Schizosaccharomyces pombe: one gene and its partners. The protein of the gene in region 2 purifies or fractionates together with the protein of the main gene of each other region. This does not show direct contact. Each region holds a gene or a part of one and is shown on either strand. Other genes may lie near its edges. The genes, in order: tra2, tti2, rvb1 and tra1.

Evidence for each region.
Region 1: the proteins of tti2 (region 2) and tra2 purify together in Schizosaccharomyces pombe (affinity purification with mass spectrometry, with the first as the bait; one study listed by BioGRID). This does not show direct contact.
Region 3: the proteins of tti2 (region 2) and rvb1 purify together in Schizosaccharomyces pombe (affinity purification with mass spectrometry, with the first as the bait; one study listed by BioGRID). This does not show direct contact.
Region 4: the proteins of tti2 (region 2) and tra1 purify together in Schizosaccharomyces pombe (affinity purification with mass spectrometry; 2 studies listed by BioGRID, with this or other methods). This does not show direct contact.

What each region holds. Positions count from the first base shown.
Region 1 is NC_003424.3:257,780-262,857, reverse strand, and holds the start of tra2 (phosphatidylinositol kinase-like protein Tra2), read right to left. Parts: upstream 3,248-5,078; 5' UTR 3,140-3,247; coding exon 3,076-3,139; intron 3,015-3,075; coding exon 1-3,014. Other genes in the region: plasma membrane potassium ion transmembrane transporter Trk2, read left to right, coding at 3,397-3,502, 3,543-3,697, 3,738-4,638, 4,674-5,078.
Region 2 is NC_003423.3:3,897,928-3,902,175, reverse strand, and holds tti2 (protein Tti2), read right to left. Parts: upstream 2,241-4,248; 5' UTR 2,130-2,240; coding exon 2,055-2,129; exon of another isoform or gene 2,011-2,054; coding exon 1,006-2,010; exon of another isoform or gene 958-1,005; coding exon 634-957; downstream 1-633. Other genes in the region: SPOM_SPBC1604.16C (G-patch type RNA-binding protein), read right to left, coding at 1-544; cmp7 (ESCRT III complex subunit), read right to left, coding at 2,627-3,295, 3,357-3,758, 3,802-4,080. UniProt on the Schizosaccharomyces pombe protein: Component of the tel2-tti1-tti2 (TTT) complex that stabilizes protein levels of the phosphatidylinositol 3-kinase-related protein kinase (PIKK) family proteins.
Region 3 is NC_003424.3:4,922,591-4,926,753, forward strand, and holds rvb1 (chaperone, AAA family ATPase Rvb1), read left to right. Parts: upstream 1-1,656; 5' UTR 1,657-1,673; coding exon 1,674-1,817; exon of another isoform or gene 1,818-1,870; coding exon 1,871-3,097; 3' UTR 3,098-3,475; downstream 3,476-4,163. Other genes in the region: ribosome biogenesis protein Rrp12, read right to left, coding at 1-740; SPOM_SPAPB8E5.08 (uncharacterized protein), read left to right, coding at 990-1,301; protein Min8, read left to right, coding at 3,948-4,020, 4,069-4,139. UniProt on the Schizosaccharomyces pombe protein: DNA helicase which participates in several chromatin remodeling complexes, including the SWR1 and the INO80 complexes.
Region 4 is NC_003423.3:1,902,234-1,907,230, forward strand, and holds the start of tra1 (SAGA complex, phosphatidylinositol pseudokinase subunit Tra1), read right to left. Parts: upstream 3,186-4,997; coding exon 1-3,185. Other genes in the region: ubiquitin-conjugating enzyme Ubc7, read left to right, coding at 3,566-3,754, 4,151-4,208, 4,258-4,511. UniProt on the Schizosaccharomyces pombe protein: Essential scaffold subunit of the transcription coactivator SAGA complex. SAGA acts as a general cofactor required for essentially all RNA polymerase II transcription.

The DNA of each region.
Region 1 (5,078 bases), on a different chromosome or scaffold from region 2:
TACGTTGACCGCCAGTTTTTCAAGCCAGAAGTAAGCTTCTTCGCGGAGTTCATCAACCGTCGTAGCAAAAAAAAGTCCATATGTAGCCGAGGCCAAAATTATGGTTTCATCTGAATCATCACTCAGTTGGGTGAATGAACTCCTTCCAGTCATTCGGCTCGGTATTACAGAATATGGTCGTCGAAAATCAAAATTACTCTTAGAAATCTTGTCTGCAGTACATCGAATGGATGAGGCTAAGCTGTTAGTAGCGTCACTCTTATAAACATAGAGCTTTGAAATATTGCAAACATAAGTGAACGCTTGTTGCTTAACCTCCAGATCACTAGAAGGGCTAGAAAGCAAATTCACAGCCTCATCAACATATTGGGTGTAATGTAAAAGTTGTGGTTGTTTAACCCCTTTTATCGAAAGAAGTAAAGTAAAATCGTTATTCGGTTCCGGCGAATTCTTTAAACTCTGGACTCTATCAAGAAGCTTCCTATTTCTTCCACCAAGTTTACCAAGTATTTTCAAGGCAGTATGGCTGTGATTATAATTATAAGGAAGAGGTTGTAGATGACTCCATAAAGCATTCATTAGATCTTCTATGTAAGGAGCCATTATCGGATCCAAAAAATCAGGAGTGAGATTATCCAAGCATAATTCAAAGGTTCGTAATCCCTGACTAACTAATTCTTGACTGCTTTTTAAAGACATGACGAGAGGTCTCATTAGATAACTCATGTATGGTAATAAAAGACTAAGCCTTACAGGAATAGTAAGACAAAGTTCGGTAAAAAGGTCTTTCTCCTTCGGAGTACGGGCAGATATAAGCAATGAATTAAATGCCTCTAATAGAGCGTGCAACAAAGGCATTACTTCTTTATAAAGGCTTTCAAATCTTCCCCCACCAATTCCTCGGAACAACGCTCTTAATAGATAATAGTAGTTCAATGAATTAGCAGAATTGGGAGCCAACTTCATACATTTCACAATAATTTCAGATACATAAGGCCGAAGAACTGGCTCATTCTCTGTTGCAAACATTGAGACTGTAACGAAAGAAAGACGAAACAAACGCAACAAGACAGAACCATGCCTGATGTCAGAAGATCCGAGTTCCTCAATTCTGGAAAGCAGAAATCGAAGTAAAATATTTAAAAATTTTGATGATGTGCTCTCATTTGAAAGCAAAAACTGTGGAATGTGAAATAATGTGAGATTTTTTTTAAGTTGATCAAAAAAAGTAGGAAGGTTTGTTTCAAAAACTTTAAGAAATATAGATGGCTCGAGATGTATAAAAATGGTAGCAAATACTTCAAGACAATCTTTCTCGTCTTTGTTACGAGGAAGCGTAGATATAGCAGGGCGATCTAAACTTTCTTCTTCGCAGCAGAAAAAAGTTTCTAAATAGACTTGCTCAGGTCGAAAATATGAGAATCCTTTGCCAACCTCAAAAAAAAGCTTCTGAAACGTAACAGCTTCGAAAGGCTTGATATTCGTAAGGAATCCCGAAAATTGTTCACCTCCAATTTCTATGCATCGAGACTTGCATGTACGAAGCCCATACATAAGAGCCCGTAAGCCAAACATCAAGTTTTTAAAAAGAAATGATCCATCATTGACGGAAGTGCTAAATGAAGATAAATCCCTAGGAGAAGAACGCGTCGGTGACTTTGTCTCTTTAATTTCTTCTTCATACTTTTTCTTAAAAAACTGATCCAAACTATCATTAAGTTCCGAAAACTTATTTACAAAGCTATCAAAAATAGATAAAAGAAGAAATATAGCATCGGGGATGCTAGGAAGACTAATCATTCTGTCAACCATGTTTAAAATGAGCCGGGCACCCATAGTCTGTAACCCAATGCTAAGAGTCAAATCATGCATATTGGTCGAATAAATCATTATAGATTTTCTTATTTGCGTTTCGTTAAGTTCGTCACGTACATGATGAAGTAAGTCAGCTAATGTACTAAATGCCAAGGGACGTAACAGCTTTTGAGTACCAACTCCATTTCCTAATAATATATTTAAATCTAACAAAAAATCCAGCTTTTTGACAAAAAGAGATTTTAAGTTTGTTGACAGAATATGTCTCGTAGCAACCAGCAGTTCTTTACGGGCAAAACACATATCAAAAGGGCATCGCCTCAAAAGCTTTATTACAATGTCCGGTATTATATCCTTCTCAGAAAGTGTATTGGGATGAGTTCGTAAAATATAAGCCAAGAAAGATAAAGTCTTTACTTGAGCCATAAAAAAATTACGGTACTGATATTTATTCCTTATAAACTCAATAAAGTCAATGCTTGAATCTTTTTCAATCATTGCATATGAAGCGATGTCTATTGGAACATCAATTTGTACCATCTTAAGAAAACAGGGAATTATGGCTTGAACACCAGGGAAAGCAGCTTGACGATATGCTTGAAGAATCAAAACTATAATGACCGGACACTCTACATACACGCGGAAACTTTGAGAAGCCAGTTCCAAAGGTTGAGTAGAAATAGCTAAAGAATTGACACGCTGTTGGATGATTGAAGTTTCCGTAGACAGATAACTACCAAAAGCCAGGGTTGTATTTTCCTCTTCATTTGATTTTGGATTCTCGACAAATATTGAGGGAATTAAATAAGGAAGGTTTGTAGAAAGCTCAAGTACCAAGTCAAAAAAGGGTTGTGCAGTGCTTTCTATACAAAACTTAAAAGTTTTGAATATATCCATAATAACTTTTAAGCAAAAAACAGCGACTTCTTCATTATCTGCTTTAATCAAGCTAATGAACGAAAGCACACAAGACTGCGCATATTGTTTAAATTCATCACGGTGAGCGCAACTTTGTATTAAAGTCAATGCTTCGATCTTGAGTTCATTGACAGAAGAATTTCTATAAAGATTCACCTCTGTATTTCGTAAAAAATCCAAGAGTAGTGGAATTAATTCTGCATACAGCTGCGAGGCGTCTGAAGATATGCTAGAAACCTTAGTAATTAAAATTTTAGTTAGTTTGATTTTTTCTTCTATTTCTTAAAAAAAGTTAGTATAAAATAAAAAAATGAATCAAAATATCTACAAAAATTTATATACCTGTACTTTCAGCTTTCAGTAGCTCTATAGAGCTGCTGAGCGACTTTTCAAAACCGTCTTCCATAACAAAGTTCGGTCCATGCAGATACTTTTTAATAAATCTTTGAAACCAAACTTGATACACTACGAGATTTTGGACACAGCTGTAAAAAAGCACAGAACGATTACTGTCAGATGTTGTTTAGTTGTTGCTATGTTCAAGGTGAATCGTATAGTGAGGACGCAAAACTGCACTATTCAAGAAGCCACTGAAGCTATTTGAAATCGACGTGAGTGTAATTTTTATCAAATACAATATAATACTGCTTTATAAACTATGACATGTTTGTACGATATAGAAGGTTTTTAAGAAGGAAAATATTATACAGATTTTATCATGCAGTTATCGGGTTTTTCTACAAACGGTTCCGGTTCCTTGAATACCATTGTATGTGAAAAACTTCTTTTCAAGCCTAACTTTGTTCAAGATTCTTTTATAATAGGAATGACTATTTTATGTTCAGTAATATTGTATGGGTCGGGAAATTTGCGCTACATAGATGCTTTGTTGTTGGCTTCTGGTTCTTGTACTCAGACTGGCTTGCAGCCTGTGGACCTCACGCAGATATCCATTTACCAACAGGTATGCATATTTTTAAATAAATTTTTTAACTATTTTTTAGTTAACTATTCTCCTTTTTGGAGTTTTGAGTACACCAATTACTGTGAACCTGGGCTTGACTTTGTTTAAGCTGTACTTCTATAACAAGCGATATGACATGGTCATAACAAATAATAAACTTAGGATGACATATACTTATCACACTGTAAGAAGAAGGGATACTCCAGAGCCTTCCAAAGTTGGCAATCGAAAAATTCGGGTTTTGTTAGACCAGGGTAATCAAATGCACCGGCCAGTTGCCCCAGAGACTAAGGCTGAGGAAGCTGAACACCAAGAGAATGAAAAACATCACAGGCACCATTTTCGTCTAAGGAAATTTGCTAATGCAATCGATCGCCCAAGCTTCTTTCGCGGGAATACCATGCCCGCTCTCCCTAGTTATGCAGGTGTTAGAAATTCTCAAGAAAATGAAGACAGAACTGAAGCATTAAGTCCAGCTCTTGGGAAACGAAGAATGGCATCAATCGACAATGGATCTTTATCCGTTGTACAAAACAATGCTAGAAATAATCCTGTCGACTTTTACATTCCTAGTTCGTTTGAAGAATCATCTTTTCAAACAATTCCTGAGGATTTTGAGCCTCAAGTACATGACCACGAGAATCAAACACAACTGAACCATCATCTGGATAACAACAGTTCTATCTCTTCGCACAATCCTTCCCTAGAAACTGCAAATGATGGTAATCAGGAAACTGTTTCATCCTCAAACTCAAACTACAGCACAACAAGAGTTGACAATGATCCACATGTAGCATCTTATTCACCTCAAAATTCGAATTTTGATCATCAGGCTGCTGCAACTACTAACGATGCACATCAAAATGTAGTACGCGGCTCTGCAATTACCATTGCACCAACCCCTGTTCCCAGGCATAATCGCAGGCCTATATATTTTGCTGGTAAGTCATTCCGTGATTTTAATATTGACCTTTAGATGACACGAATGGAGCTGAGCAGGAAAAAGGTGCTCATCGACTTGATGGACGAGGTAGAAAACGTGGTAAATCATTTGCTGTTACACCTACACTTCACAGGAATGAGCGCTCAATGTCTGTCCTACCATTTCAATTAGCCAAATCATTTACATCTGCTCTTCCTCGAAGACTCACATTCAACCGTACTCACACGAAAGCTAGCACAATGAGTTTACCTTATTTATCGTACAATGCAACAGTGGGCAGAAATTCTGCATTTTATGCCTTAACTCCAGTGGAGAGAGAAGAATTGGCGGGAATTGAATATGAATCTCTCAGGATATTGACTGTCATATTAGTGGTTTATTTTCTGTTTTGGCATATTCTTGGTTTGGTTGCGTTCCTAATATTCATTTATACTGCTA
Region 2 (4,248 bases):
GTTGGATTTGGCACTGACGCTTGCCTTTGCGACATTTATTTACTGCAACTTTCTCCAAATCAATCTTGGTACCGAGTCCAATCGTATCATTTTTTACACGAAATGCTCTAACCGGGGCACGACGACCCTGATTTTCCAAACCCAATCCAGCAGTATCTCCTTGGGGAGACCAACCATACTGAGAAAGAACTCGATAACCAAGGCTTTTTGGTTTTAATAAATGGGGTTGAAATTTGTTTGAAATATGTTGTGAAGAAAGAAGGTGAGTCATTGATTTAAAATGATTAATTTTTTTGCTATTTGGAATGTATATTTGACACACTTCACAAGCAAAACCAGCTTCGTCCCTCTTGCTGTTCATAGTATGCGAATTATCCCTATCATTTTCAAATAACGAATGATAAAATGCTTGTGCCGATCCTTTTTCAATAAAAGTGGCTTCGTCCAACGATTGTTCACTAGTGGCTTTTACGAATGAAACCCTACGACCATTTTTATAAAAACCATAAGAATTTGACAGCTCCATATTTCCTTTATTCTCCATTTTCCATCGTTTTTCGAATAACCATTGTTACCAATTTATCTAGGTTGAAGGTTGGTTAGTAATGAGGAGAGTCTTTCCTTATATGTACCTCAAAGTGGGATTTGCAGGGGTTCAAGCAGTGGCAATATTACATTGTAATCACCGAGTTGCTCAACAGTTATGTTCAATTTTATCAAAGTGAAGAGGTTTTGAAGCGCTTGTACAATTGCATTGTGATGCTCTTGTAAGTTACATCGCATATAATTTCTACTGCAAACCACTAGTGCCATTAATAACTCAACATGGTGTGCAGATATTCGATAACTGTAAATTTCCAATAGTTTTGTTAATATTTCTAAAAAAAAGGAGAGTGTCGATGGTATCTGTATGATTTGTGGGTTTTGTATTATACGACACAGTTCATCCAGAGTCAACTAAGTGCGATTAGTAAACTTTCAAATGTAACGAATTTAAATTATTACCGTTAGGTATGGTAAATAACTAACATTCATTTTGTCAGTTAAAACCATAATTTGAGAAAATGCGGCTTGAAGAATCAGGGGATAATCGAATGCAAACTGAAACACAGAATTAATACCGTTCAGCATAATAGAATTTAAATTTTCATTTTCTTCAGGATAAAGAGAAACTAGGGTTGCGAAGGAGGCATTTATAAGGGTAACACTCGTTTGAATTGTAAATCTTGGCGGTATGAAAGTATAGAATACGAGCAAATCGTCCTTCAAAATTTTTAGAATTCCAGTATATAAAAGAAATTCTCTTTCCGTAATTTTTAACAATCTGTTGACTAGCTCAATTCCTTGTAGTTTAATGTTTGGAGATAAATCATTCAATATTCGGAGTACAGATGGAATGATTCTGTGCCAACATACTTCAATGCTAGAAGAACTTTGCTGATCAATTATCCAAAAAATAAGGTGAGAAATGAGATAATTTTTTGTTTTCCACTTTGGCTCAAGAAGTGCTTTACTTTGATCACTGTGAAATTTGTCTGGTGGTAATTCAAATGCAACCGGTCTACCTTGATCTGTCAACCGTTCTTCTCTATGAAAAAGATTTATTTGATACTTTTCTAGAAGATATAATAAGAATTTTTGTCTAGGAACAGCGCTGAGGATTGAAGTTGAGAGGAATTCTGACAAATTGCGTACAAGTCCATTCTCGATTCCACTTAATGATATTAAAATAGCTAGGATTTCCCAATTGATCTCTTTAACAACATTTTCTATAAACTGTTCTTGAAAAATGCTTAATATCCGGTGAGCGCGCACAACATACGCTTCTTTAATCACTACATCAATCGATTCAGGGTCTGGATGAGTTAATAATTTAATATAAAAAATTGTCGCCGTACCCAGTAAAAACCAACTTTCAGTAGGGCTAATGAACTCTAATAATGGCCTCAAATCTTGTTCATGAACCAACGAGTCCACCTCTACCACCAATTTGTCCAAAAAGTCTATTTGCTATATTTGGTTAAAATTTGAAAATAGTGAATTAAAAACGGTACTTTTTCAAGAGCTTCTTTTTCATTTTTTGATTGTAGAGTATGCAATCGCCTAGCTAGCTCTTTGTAATATTGCATAGATATTGCCAATTTAAACTTCTATTAGATAATTATTAAGTCTAATGTTTTATTATTTGTTTGATTTGTAAACAAAGAATATTAACAGAATTGTAATGTCACTTAGTTATTAGAGAACTTAAATTCTATGAAAAAAGTATTTCATGTTAAGCTATGGTCATACACTAATAATATAAACTTATAGAGTATGTGATATACTGTAAGTTTCTAAGTCGTTGCCAAGAAATCAATTTAATAAATTAACAATTTACTAGTTTTTAAAGGTATAAAAAGCAAAATTTTTAGTAACTAACATCAATTCATTACACAGGTACTTTACCTTATCGCTTTAGCTATATAAGTTCTATTGAGTATATAAGCATTATTGTTTTTTATAGTTATTACCAAGAAAAATGTTTTTATAGTATTCATTTATTCTTTAGTATGTGCATAAATTATTAGTAAACCAAACCATTTCCCGTGAATTTAAGTGATCGTTAAAAAAGGACGTATATAAATTATTGCTCAACCAGCTCAGCTTGAATCTTCTCCGGTTTCGAAGTCTTTTTATCCGAGTCAGTATTAGTAAGGGTAAAAGTATCAGATGGTGTTTTTAGAGAAACATTGCCTAATGTAGACACGATATCTTCAACCTTCTGTTCTTCAGCTACCAAATCCTGCCATTCTTTTTCAACGGCTTCATCCTCTAAATCAATGTTTTGAGGATTGTAAGTTTGAATAGTTGCATCAATCTCTTCCGAACGAGCCAGTGTATCATTTACGTTTTCTAAGACATCTTCCACTTTTTCAGTTCCACCCATTTGAGCTAAAATTGCGTCTAGAGCTTCAGAGCCAGAAGACATTGCAATAAGCAAAATTTTGTTGTCAACCGCATTATCAATATTAGAAATTATAGTATCTAATTGCAGACGCGAAGAAACTTTCCTTTCCAAATCTTTAGACAAAATCTTTTTTCGACGTAAATAAGTTATTGCTATTGTTTTCTCTCCCTTTTTAACTGCTTGGTTTAGCACTTGTGAAAGTTGCTCCAATTCCTCGTTTAAAAATTCTGATCTTTGGGCGATGGATGCCCTAGCCTGTATCAGATCTGCAACAGACCCATCAATAGACTTATCAATTGAAGCTAATTGAGCATCAATTTGGCTGTTGGGTAAAAACTTGATTATCTATTCTCGTTAAAAAAACGGTATCGACAAATAGCTGAGAAAACATATAATCTGAACTTACCTTAGAATCAAATATTAAAACATGTTTTTGATAGCACATCCAATTAAGAAGGCATTCCATCTCATCCTTGTTTAATTTTCCTTCTTCCCAGTATAAGCTTCCAAAAGTATCTTGAAAAAAGTCCCAAGTATAAATTGCACTCGTATAGCTGCTGCACCGTCGCATTGCTTCATTGTGTACAAGGCAAGCAAGTTTCTCAATATTTTTTCGAATTACATACTGCCCACTCGGGGATCTATTTGACAATATGGATGAGGCTTGATTTTGAAACCCAAGTTTCTGAAAACTCCACCGTAGAATTGAAAAAATAGAAAAACCGTCTTCTCTTACTAAATTTCCTTTTTTACAATCGTTCAAAAAGTCTTGCTTACGAAGCCAAACCCCTTGCTGGATCCAGTAAGCCTATATGCTTATTAGCTTCAAAAAAAATGCTTAATTCACGTACCGCAACAGCACCAAGGCTCAAAGGTCTACCTAAAGCAGGACTTGAAAACGCACTTTCAAAAGTCTCATCGAAAACTAAGATTATCCTAGAATTCAACTTCCCAGACCATGCGGATGTTTCAATTGCTTCTCTCCAAGTATTTACGTTTGCCAAAAATCCTTCAGGATTTTTTATAAACAGACTCGTAAAGTCAGAATACAGGCTTTTTAAACGAGTTTTTGTAAAAATTCCTTTATTAACAGAAAATTCCAAAGCATTGACTTTCTCCTTTTTTCCCATTCTGTCGTATATTCCTGAAGCTACCTGCGTGGTTTACTATATACAGTTTTCAAACAGAATTAATGGTATGAGGTGACTTGTCACTTGTACTTTTGTAATGTTACAAATTGCTAAATTTGGAGTTCTAATAAGGTGCTGATGATTTGTTTTCAAAAATTCAGACAATGA
Region 3 (4,163 bases), on a different chromosome or scaffold from region 2:
CTTCGTTGTCCAACAATTAATACGCAGGACCTACATAGCCTTTCGACGAGAGTCATTGGCCAATGTGTAGAAGAACAAAGCACACGAATAAGAACCAAACTATTATTAAGCTTTTGGACTTCTGCAGGAGTTTTGGGCTTTTTGGCAGTAGCGAGCGACTCCAAAAGACGAAGTGGCTCGAATGCAGTATATTTTATAGCAGGATGCTCCGTTACAGGACCTGCCGGAGGATTTTTTAATATGTTGGCCAGAATTTGCAAAGAACGTACTCTCGTCTTCTCAGTATTGGACAATGCAAAGAATAATAAAATATAGATAGAAGTTTTGCAAGAATTGCCATGAGTCCAAGAGCTATAATCCTGAAGAAGTAAAAGCTTCTCCAAAACATTAAGATAGGGGAGAAGGACGGTTTTATTGGTTTCTGCATTATTTACAACTGGAGCAAGGACAGACAAGATCTGGGGAAATTTTGCTTGCAGAACATTAGAGGGCACATACTTAATAACCAATTCCAGTAGTTGAAACGTGTGTCCCTTAAAATTTTTCTTTAAGTCCGTGAATTCCTTAACTAAAGTTAGAAGGGCCACCAAATAAGCAGTTGGTGTCGCCTCAGTTTTTTGCTCCTTCAACGTCCCCTCCACTGCACTAACGATTACATCGAATTCGTTTATGACACCTGCAGTGGAGCTGTTTCGAATCTTTCGAAGTTCAATTTGCAATGGTTCATTCACTTCAGCCATGAATTTTTAACCTGCCCAAACTTTCCCTGTAGGATGGTGTGAAAGACAACTCCACATCAGTGCGAAATTCACAGATATGTTCGCAGTGCATTGCACATCGTTATTTGTTTGGCGAAAAAAGATTGTGAAATTAGGAAATTTCCTTACCAATCTTTTGATGGATCACGATGTGTGGCAGGTTAAGTTTAAATTTATTGATAAACATTAATTCGCTGTTGCTAGACGGAATTGCGGGTATTTTCCTGGTACATGAGAAAATTGAGATGTAAACAAATGATTCCCAAGTTATTACCGTTTATATTCATTTATTTATCTGTCGCTAATAAAATTATGTTTTATTGTATCTTAAATGAGCGAGCGTTTAAGCACTACAAAACCTATCGAAGGATTACAGATTGCCCGGAGATTAAAAATAAAAAAAGCAGAAGAAAAAATCAGCGAAACAGTAGTAGCATCGGATTAAGCAATCCAAACAAGTTTTCAATATATATATATATATATTTTTTTTTTTATTCGTTTTTATGCTCACCGTATTTATTTAAATATATATCGCTATTCTAGGATGGTAGTTAATCAACATATGGGATGTATGTAAATAAGAAAATTATAATTCATTAATAAATCAAGAATAACTTTTTGAAAACATTTAGATGTATTTGCGTTTATTACTTAAGTACTCGTTATAACAGTTTTAGTTACTATTTTTTTTGCATCATATACAGTAAAATAGAATTCCTCAAAAATCGATTGTTAATTTCTGTTTAATTTTTTTTTTTAAAGAAAGAATACACCTCTTTGCTTTATTATTTCATTTCCTGTCTTTTTCATTACCTCAGCTCTACTTTCTTCTTATTTAACTTGGTACTATTTTGCTACACCCAACCCTAATGTCACATTTTGAAAGCAAGCTATCCTCAACCAACTACTTATAAAATGGTCCAAATCAGCGAGGTTAAGGGAAATGGCCGTGATAATAGGATTACTACACATTCACATATCAAAGGTTTAGGCCTAAAAGAAGATGGAACTTGTGAATCTGTTGGTGGAGGTTTCATTGGACAAGAAAAGGCTCGTGAGGTAAGCATTCCTGATAATTCTTTAATATAATGTATTCTAATATATTTTCTTAGGCTTGTGGCATCATCACTGATTTAATCAAGTCTAAAAAATTTGGTGGTAAAGGTGTATTGTTCGCTGGAGGTGCTGGTACTGGTAAAACAGCACTGGCCTTGGCGATTGCCCAAGAACTTGGTCCTAAAGTTCCTTTTTGTCCTATGGTGGGAAGTGAAGTCTACTCTAGTGAAATAAAGAAAACTGAGGCTTTAATGGAAAACTTTCGAAGGGCCATTGGTCTTCGGGTAAAGGAAACAAAAGAAGTGTATGAGGGTGAGGTTACAGAAATGGTTCCCGAAGAAGCCGAAAATCCTTTGGGCGGTTATGGAAAAACCATTTCACACGTCCTTTTGGGCCTCAAAACGCATAAGGGTACCAAACAGCTCAAATTAGATCCTAGCATTTACGAATCTTTACAAAGAGAACAAGTGTCAACCGGGGACGTTATTTACATAGAAGCCAATACAGGTGCCGTAAAGAGAGTGGGTCGTAGCGATGCGTATGCTACGGAGTTCGATTTAGAAGCGGAAGAATATGTTCCTATGCCTAAAGGTGAGGTACACAAGCGGAAAGAAATTGTTCAGGACGTGACTCTTCATGATTTGGATATTGCCAATGCCCGCCCTCAAGGAGGACAAGATATAATGTCTATGATGGGTCAGTTAATGAAGCCCAAGAAAACTGAAATCACCGATAAGCTTCGTGGTGAAATTAACAAGGTTGTCAACAAATATATCGAACAAGGAATCGCTGAACTTATTCCTGGTGTCTTGTTCATCGACGAGGTTCATATGTTAGACATTGAGTGCTTTACTTATCTCAACCAAGCCCTAGAAAGCACTATTTCTCCTATTGTTATCTTTGCCTCTAATCGAGGCATTTGTACCATTCGGGGTACTGAGGATATTCAAGCTCCCCATGGTATTCCTACGGATTTGCTTGACAGATTACTAATAGTTCGCACACTCCCCTATTCAGAGTCAGAAATTCGTTCCATTTTGCAGATACGTGCAAAAGTTGAAAACATCATCCTTACTGATGAGTGTTTGGACAAGCTGGCTCAAGAAGGTTCTCGTACTAGTCTCCGTTATGTTATACAACTGTTGACACCCGTTAGCATTATTGCCAGTTTGCATGGTAACAAAGAGATTGGTGTACAAGATATCGAAGAATGTAACGATCTTTTCTTAGATGCTCGCCGCTCCGCTCAAGTTGTTAAATCATCTTCAGGCTTCCTTCAATAAAAATATTATCCTTAATAACGATCTACCCTTACTTATTTCAACTTTTTGGTTATATGCGAAACTAGCTAGATTTACACAGGTTGTGAATATATATACCTTTTTATTTATAAACTTGTAAATTTTTTTTAAGCTTAACCAATTTCTTCTTTTTTTTATCCAGTTATATTCCTTCCATTCCGGCATTTATTTATACTGTAATCATTTATGAATACCTAAATAAAAGTCAGGATCAATGAATTTATTTAGAATTCAATACCTCCTAGGGTTTTTTTACATGCATGGAAAGACTGTATGAAGTACTTTGCAAAAGCTGCAATCATTCTGTAAATAAACTTAAAATATTATAAGAAGGTGAGTTCTTTTTTTTTTTTTTTTTTTTTTTTAAATTTGAGTTGAATGCTATTTATAAATCTTCTGTTCATTTTTGATTCCTACTTCCACGAAAGGACAAGCTGCCACTTGAGATAAGCAAGTGCTAAAGAACGAATAACAGGCAAAAAACTTCAACAGTAACTTCATAAAGCATGATAGACAAAAAGAGTAATACAACATTTGTAATACGCGGAAAAAAAATTCCCCATCTGCGATAACTGTTTCGTCGTCATTTTAGAAATTGATTATTTACATTGCAACACCATCGATTGAGCAATTTTATCAACACACACAGTACTCTTAGCGCACAGTAAGCAACCCCGTTTGTTATGATATATTAATATGCCTCGTTAGTTCGTCAATATACCACTTTACATAAGTGTGGCCAAAGTAAAGCAATAATGACGAGACCAGGAGGAAGGGCAACCCAATATAAGTTGAAGAGAAGACTTTGAATGCTTAACTATTAAGTGTACAAATGGCAGTTTTATCAAGAATTATGAAACCTTACAGGGCCTTTCAAAGGCTTCCTTTTGAGCTCAAACCTCTGGGTTAGTTACTGAGAAAACCGAATTTGTCAAATCACTAACGAATTTTAGCAATCCTCATTGGAATTGCTGGGTCCACTGCAATATTTACCATGGGATATAAGATTTATTCTGATCCTGAAGTATGTACAATTATTTCCAAACTT
Region 4 (4,997 bases), 2.0 Mb from region 2:
TCAAGCATTTTAATGCTTTGCAAATTATCAAAAATATTTTGATCTTTTATTTGCAGAGAGTCAGCGTAATTAACCAAATCAAGAACAATGAGCCATTCCAAAGAACGATTGATGGTTTCTCGAGCTTCAGCTACAAATTCCACACAAGACATTGAGCCGACTAAAGATTTAAAAATGTTTGAGACAATAGATCTTTGCAGATAATAAGATTCATCTTTGTCAGGGCACAACCTACCATTAGAGACTTGCTGTAAGTTTTTATCCATGCGATCTACAACTGCTCGGCACATTGTATCAATAGATTCCCAAAAGTCTTCATCGGGCTTCGCAGACGCAAAGAGTAATAAATACGAATTCTTGACCATTTGAAATGCTTGCTTCTTTTCTTCTAAATCGGAATTTTGATTGTTTAAAACAGCACATGAAGACATTAAAAATTTGGAGTGCTCTAAGCTAAAATTCTGAGAGGAGCCTTGGAAAGAAAACTGGATTGAAGGAAAAATATTTTCATCTTGCAAAAAATCAAAGCCAAAGGTACCAAGATATATTTGTCTATTTCGACCACCCATTTTTCCTAATATTCTCACAGCACTTTGATGCAATTGATTATTGGATTGATTAAGGCGTGAATGATTCCACAGGCATATCAGCAAATCCGGCATAATTGAGTCCAATAAAGGATCCAAAAATTCTTGAGTAAGATTATCCAAGCAAAGTTCAAATATTCGAAGCCCTTGACTAGCTATTTCAGGGGGGCCTTTTAATGCAACAATCAATGGCTTCATTAAAAAATTCATATGAGGCAACAACACACTGAGTCTAATGGGTAAAGTCAAACAAAGTTCCGCATACAGCTCTTTTTGGGATGTAGACGTAACAGTAAAAATCAATCTGTTGAAACATTCTAGCATTACTTGGAGAAGTGGTAGTATTTCCTTGTAAAGAGAATCAAATTTTCCTCCACTGATATTTCTAAACAAAGCTTTCATTAAATAAACGTAATTTAAAGGTTCAACAGCATCAGTAGTCAATTCGAGGCTAGTTGAAATGATATAGGATATATGGGGACGCAGGACTTCTGCATTTTTTTCGGGAAAAACATTCACAGTCATAAAGGCCAACTTGAATAATCGCAATAAAACAGAAACCCGAGTGGATTGGCCAGACCCTATTTTAGCTAGATTGTCACAGCAAAAAGACAGCACGATGCCCGTGCAGTTGACAGAAGTAACTTCATTAGACATCCAAAATTGGAAAATATGCAATAAAGCAAGATTATCTACTAGACACTCAAATATATTCGGAAACTCGGATTCCAAAATTTCGACGAAAACAGATGGGTCCAAGTGTAAAAATAAAGTTGCTAACATTTCTAAGAGCTCCTTCTCTTCTAAGAGTTTAGAAGGGTTTGTGGTCAACGAAGAATCAAGTTGAGAGTATGCAAGATTTTTCGAGGACTTGAATACACCGGTTTTTTCATCTGTCTGGTAATAACTGAATCCCTTTAAACTTTCCACAAGTAATCTTCGAAACAGTAAAACTTCATTAGTTGAACTAAGATGTAACTTTTCAGACCATTCCTGAGCTGTAAAAATGGAACCGTTGGCAAGAGGAATATTTCGTTGCTTTAGTCCAAACAAAACAGGCTTAATACCTAATAAGGTGTTTTTAAAAAGAAATATGCAATCTTTTAGCTTATCCAAACCTGAAGGTTGGGCAGCTCCAGTAGGGTTCTCAAACATAGGAAGATCATGTTTATTTTCTTCTATTTTAATTTGCTTTAAGTCAGCATTTTCCTGTAAAGAATCTCTCAGCTTCATAAACTCGAAATTCAGAGAAGTCAATTTTCTTAAGAGACATAAAAGTATAGCAAATAGAAGTGATCGGCTAGTGGAAAAATCTTCTAGTGCAACAATTCTTTCAACCAAGTTTAAAATAAGCTTTGTAGCCATTGCCTGAATAGCTGAAGTATAAAAGTCGTCCATCAAAATACTGAAATAAAGAAGTATGACTTTGTAAATTTGTTGTGGACTTAATTCCATACGCACATAATGAAGCATATCTGCCAGCATGCTAAAAGCCATGGGTCGTAATGAATGCTGAGAAGTGATTCCAGAACCAACTAGAATTTTGGTATCAAGTAGTTGATCTACATACGGTAGAAACCCTCTCAAATAATCCGTCGATAAGACGTGCCTTGTAGCTACCAAAAGTTCTCTTCGAGTCTGATATAATTCGGAAGGACAGTCCATGAACAATTGCAAGGTACATATTGGGATCGAGCTTTCAAACTGTTTAAGAGCAGCACCAAAACTTCTCAATAAATAGGCGAGAAAAGAGAATGATTTAATTTGCGCAGAAATAAGGTCATTGTAAAGATGATTTCGACGCAAAGAAGGGACTACACCAATAAAAACCTCTTTTTGAGATTCTGCAAGTCGACGAGCTTCGGCTTGAGGTGGAGGACGAAGTGAGATAAATTGAAGTACAAGCGGAGCAAGTAAAGGAAGCATTTTCGGAATAAGATCTTTGTATGTTTGAAATAGGAGAAAGACGATAATGGGAAATTCAGCAGTGACCTTGAAACTCGAAGAAGCTTTTGGGATCATTTTTGGACCTGCATGTTCCATTCCAATTTCAGCAGGAGATGCAGAAGATGCAGCAGACATGGGATGAGAGGATGGAGTATTCGGAGCTGATCTAGGTGGGAAAGCTTCTGAAACAACTGTGGTCATGGATTTGTAGTTTTCAACGACAATGGATAAAAATTCCTGAACATGTCCCTTAGCAAGGCTACTGTGGTCCTTAAAAAGAAGGACAACAAGCTTCAATGCCAACACTGCCATCTCTTCATTATCATTAACGACTATACGAAGAAGCACGGCAAAAGTCCGATTAACGAATGCTTCAAAACCTTTATAGGATCCAGATTTCTTGAGCAATTCAAGCAATGCAATGCGTAAACGATGTGTAGCTGCTAACGATGAAAATACAGGACGTTCCTTTTCAAGCAAAGACAACGTGTCCTCCAAAAGAGGAATGAAAGTTTCAAAATTCGTCTTTTCAGTTACCAACACATCATCCAGTGCATCTCGAATTTCAATTGCTGTGTTTGCCTTTTGCTTCGAGTCTAATCCAACATCACAAAGCCGATTATGCCAATGTTCGCATTGTGATACATCCATCAGATGCTTGGATCTCTGCGCAAGCTCTTTTTTAAATTCCAATTGCACTCGGATACGTTTTCCTAAGTATTTAACAATTACTATTGGAATGTTGTGGGATAGAGCAAGCTGCATTTCTTTCCTCTAAATCACTTTATGAATTTTACATGTTTTCGCTATTTTAATTAACGGCCTTATTATTTTGTGCGGTAGAAGTTGCTAAAATGATGAACGAGATAAAAATAGCGAGTGATACCACAAAAGTTCGTTTAGCCTCAGCTGCATAATTTGTCGTAAACAAACCATTCATTCATTAATCTGTTCATTACCATTTTTAGGCTACCTTTTAGTCAGTGATCTTTAATATATCTTACCGATTAGTAAGTTAATTGATTTCCAAAATGAGTAAAGCTATGGCGTTGCGACGGTTAATGAAGGAGTATAAGGAGTTAACGGAGAATGGGCCTGATGGTATTACTGCAGGTCCATCGAATGAGGATGATTTCTTTACTTGGGATTGCCTAATTCAAGGCCCTGATGGAACTCCATTTGAAGGTGGGTTATACCCTGCTACCTTGAAATTTCCTTCCGTAAGTCCTTTACTATAAACCTGATGGAGACTGAACATGTGATTTAAGTTGTGGATAAGTATGATGTTTCGCATGTTTTATGTATCAACTACTTATTAAAAAATACGCGCTCTTTTTCATAAATTAACATTTGTTCAGCGTAAATAAAGAAAGTAACTCAATAATCCATTCGTTTAGAATGATCATTTAAGAGAAGTGCTTTTATTCATTAGTAATTGATGAATCCTTCGATTTATTGATGAGTAGGAAGAAATTTTATTTAAAAGATCTATCTAAGTTTTTTTTTGGGGGTTTGGTTTCTTTCTTTGAATCGCATGGCAGTACATCCGGGGTGTTCAAGCGCACGTTGATACGTGCTTAGTTTTATTTTTATTGGATTCTAACTTTTTTATGTAGGATTATCCTCTTGGCCCCCCTACTTTAAAGTTTGAGTGTGAATTTTTCCATCCAAATGGTATGCCAGATACTATTAATCCAAATTTCGAGACTAACCTTCATTTCAGTTTACAAAGATGGGACGGTTTGCATTTCCATCCTACATGCACCTGGTGACGATCCAAATATGTATGAGTCGTCTTCAGAACGTTGGTCTCCTGTTCAATCTGTTGAAAAAATACTGTTATCGGTAATGTCGATGTTGGCGGAACCAAACGATGAAAGTGGTGCTAACATCGATGCGTGCAAGATGTGGAGAGAAGATCGAGAAGAATATTGTCGTGTAGTTCGACGATTGGCTCGTAAAACCTTGGGATTATAACCATGAATTGTATATTTGATTAGATTGCCATGAATAACGAACCTGATAAAATCTAGAAATAAAGTTTTGTTCCATTTTTGAACGCAACCGGTAGGCTTTTCTCTTTCTATTCCAACGTATAACGCTACATAGGTTTAATTACAAGGTTTAAACAAAAATGAAAGCACTTTTCCAATTCAATTTCTATCTGTAAATGATGGAAGATAAACATTTTGTCTATTGAGATAATCCATCTTTTAATAAACATCACTTGAACTTTCTACACAGATACATGGCAACGTACATCGCTGAAAACGAATTATATTGAGAAAACATCTAGAAATTACACAGTAAAAAACTTAACAAAATATAAGAATAACCCCAAATTATGCTCCAAAAGAAAAAAAAAATGCATCAGGTGCATAAAAATATTAGCTTCCCACAACCTACAAAAGAAAGAGGTAAATTTTTTTACAAAATAAAAATCAGAAATTATCAAATAAAACG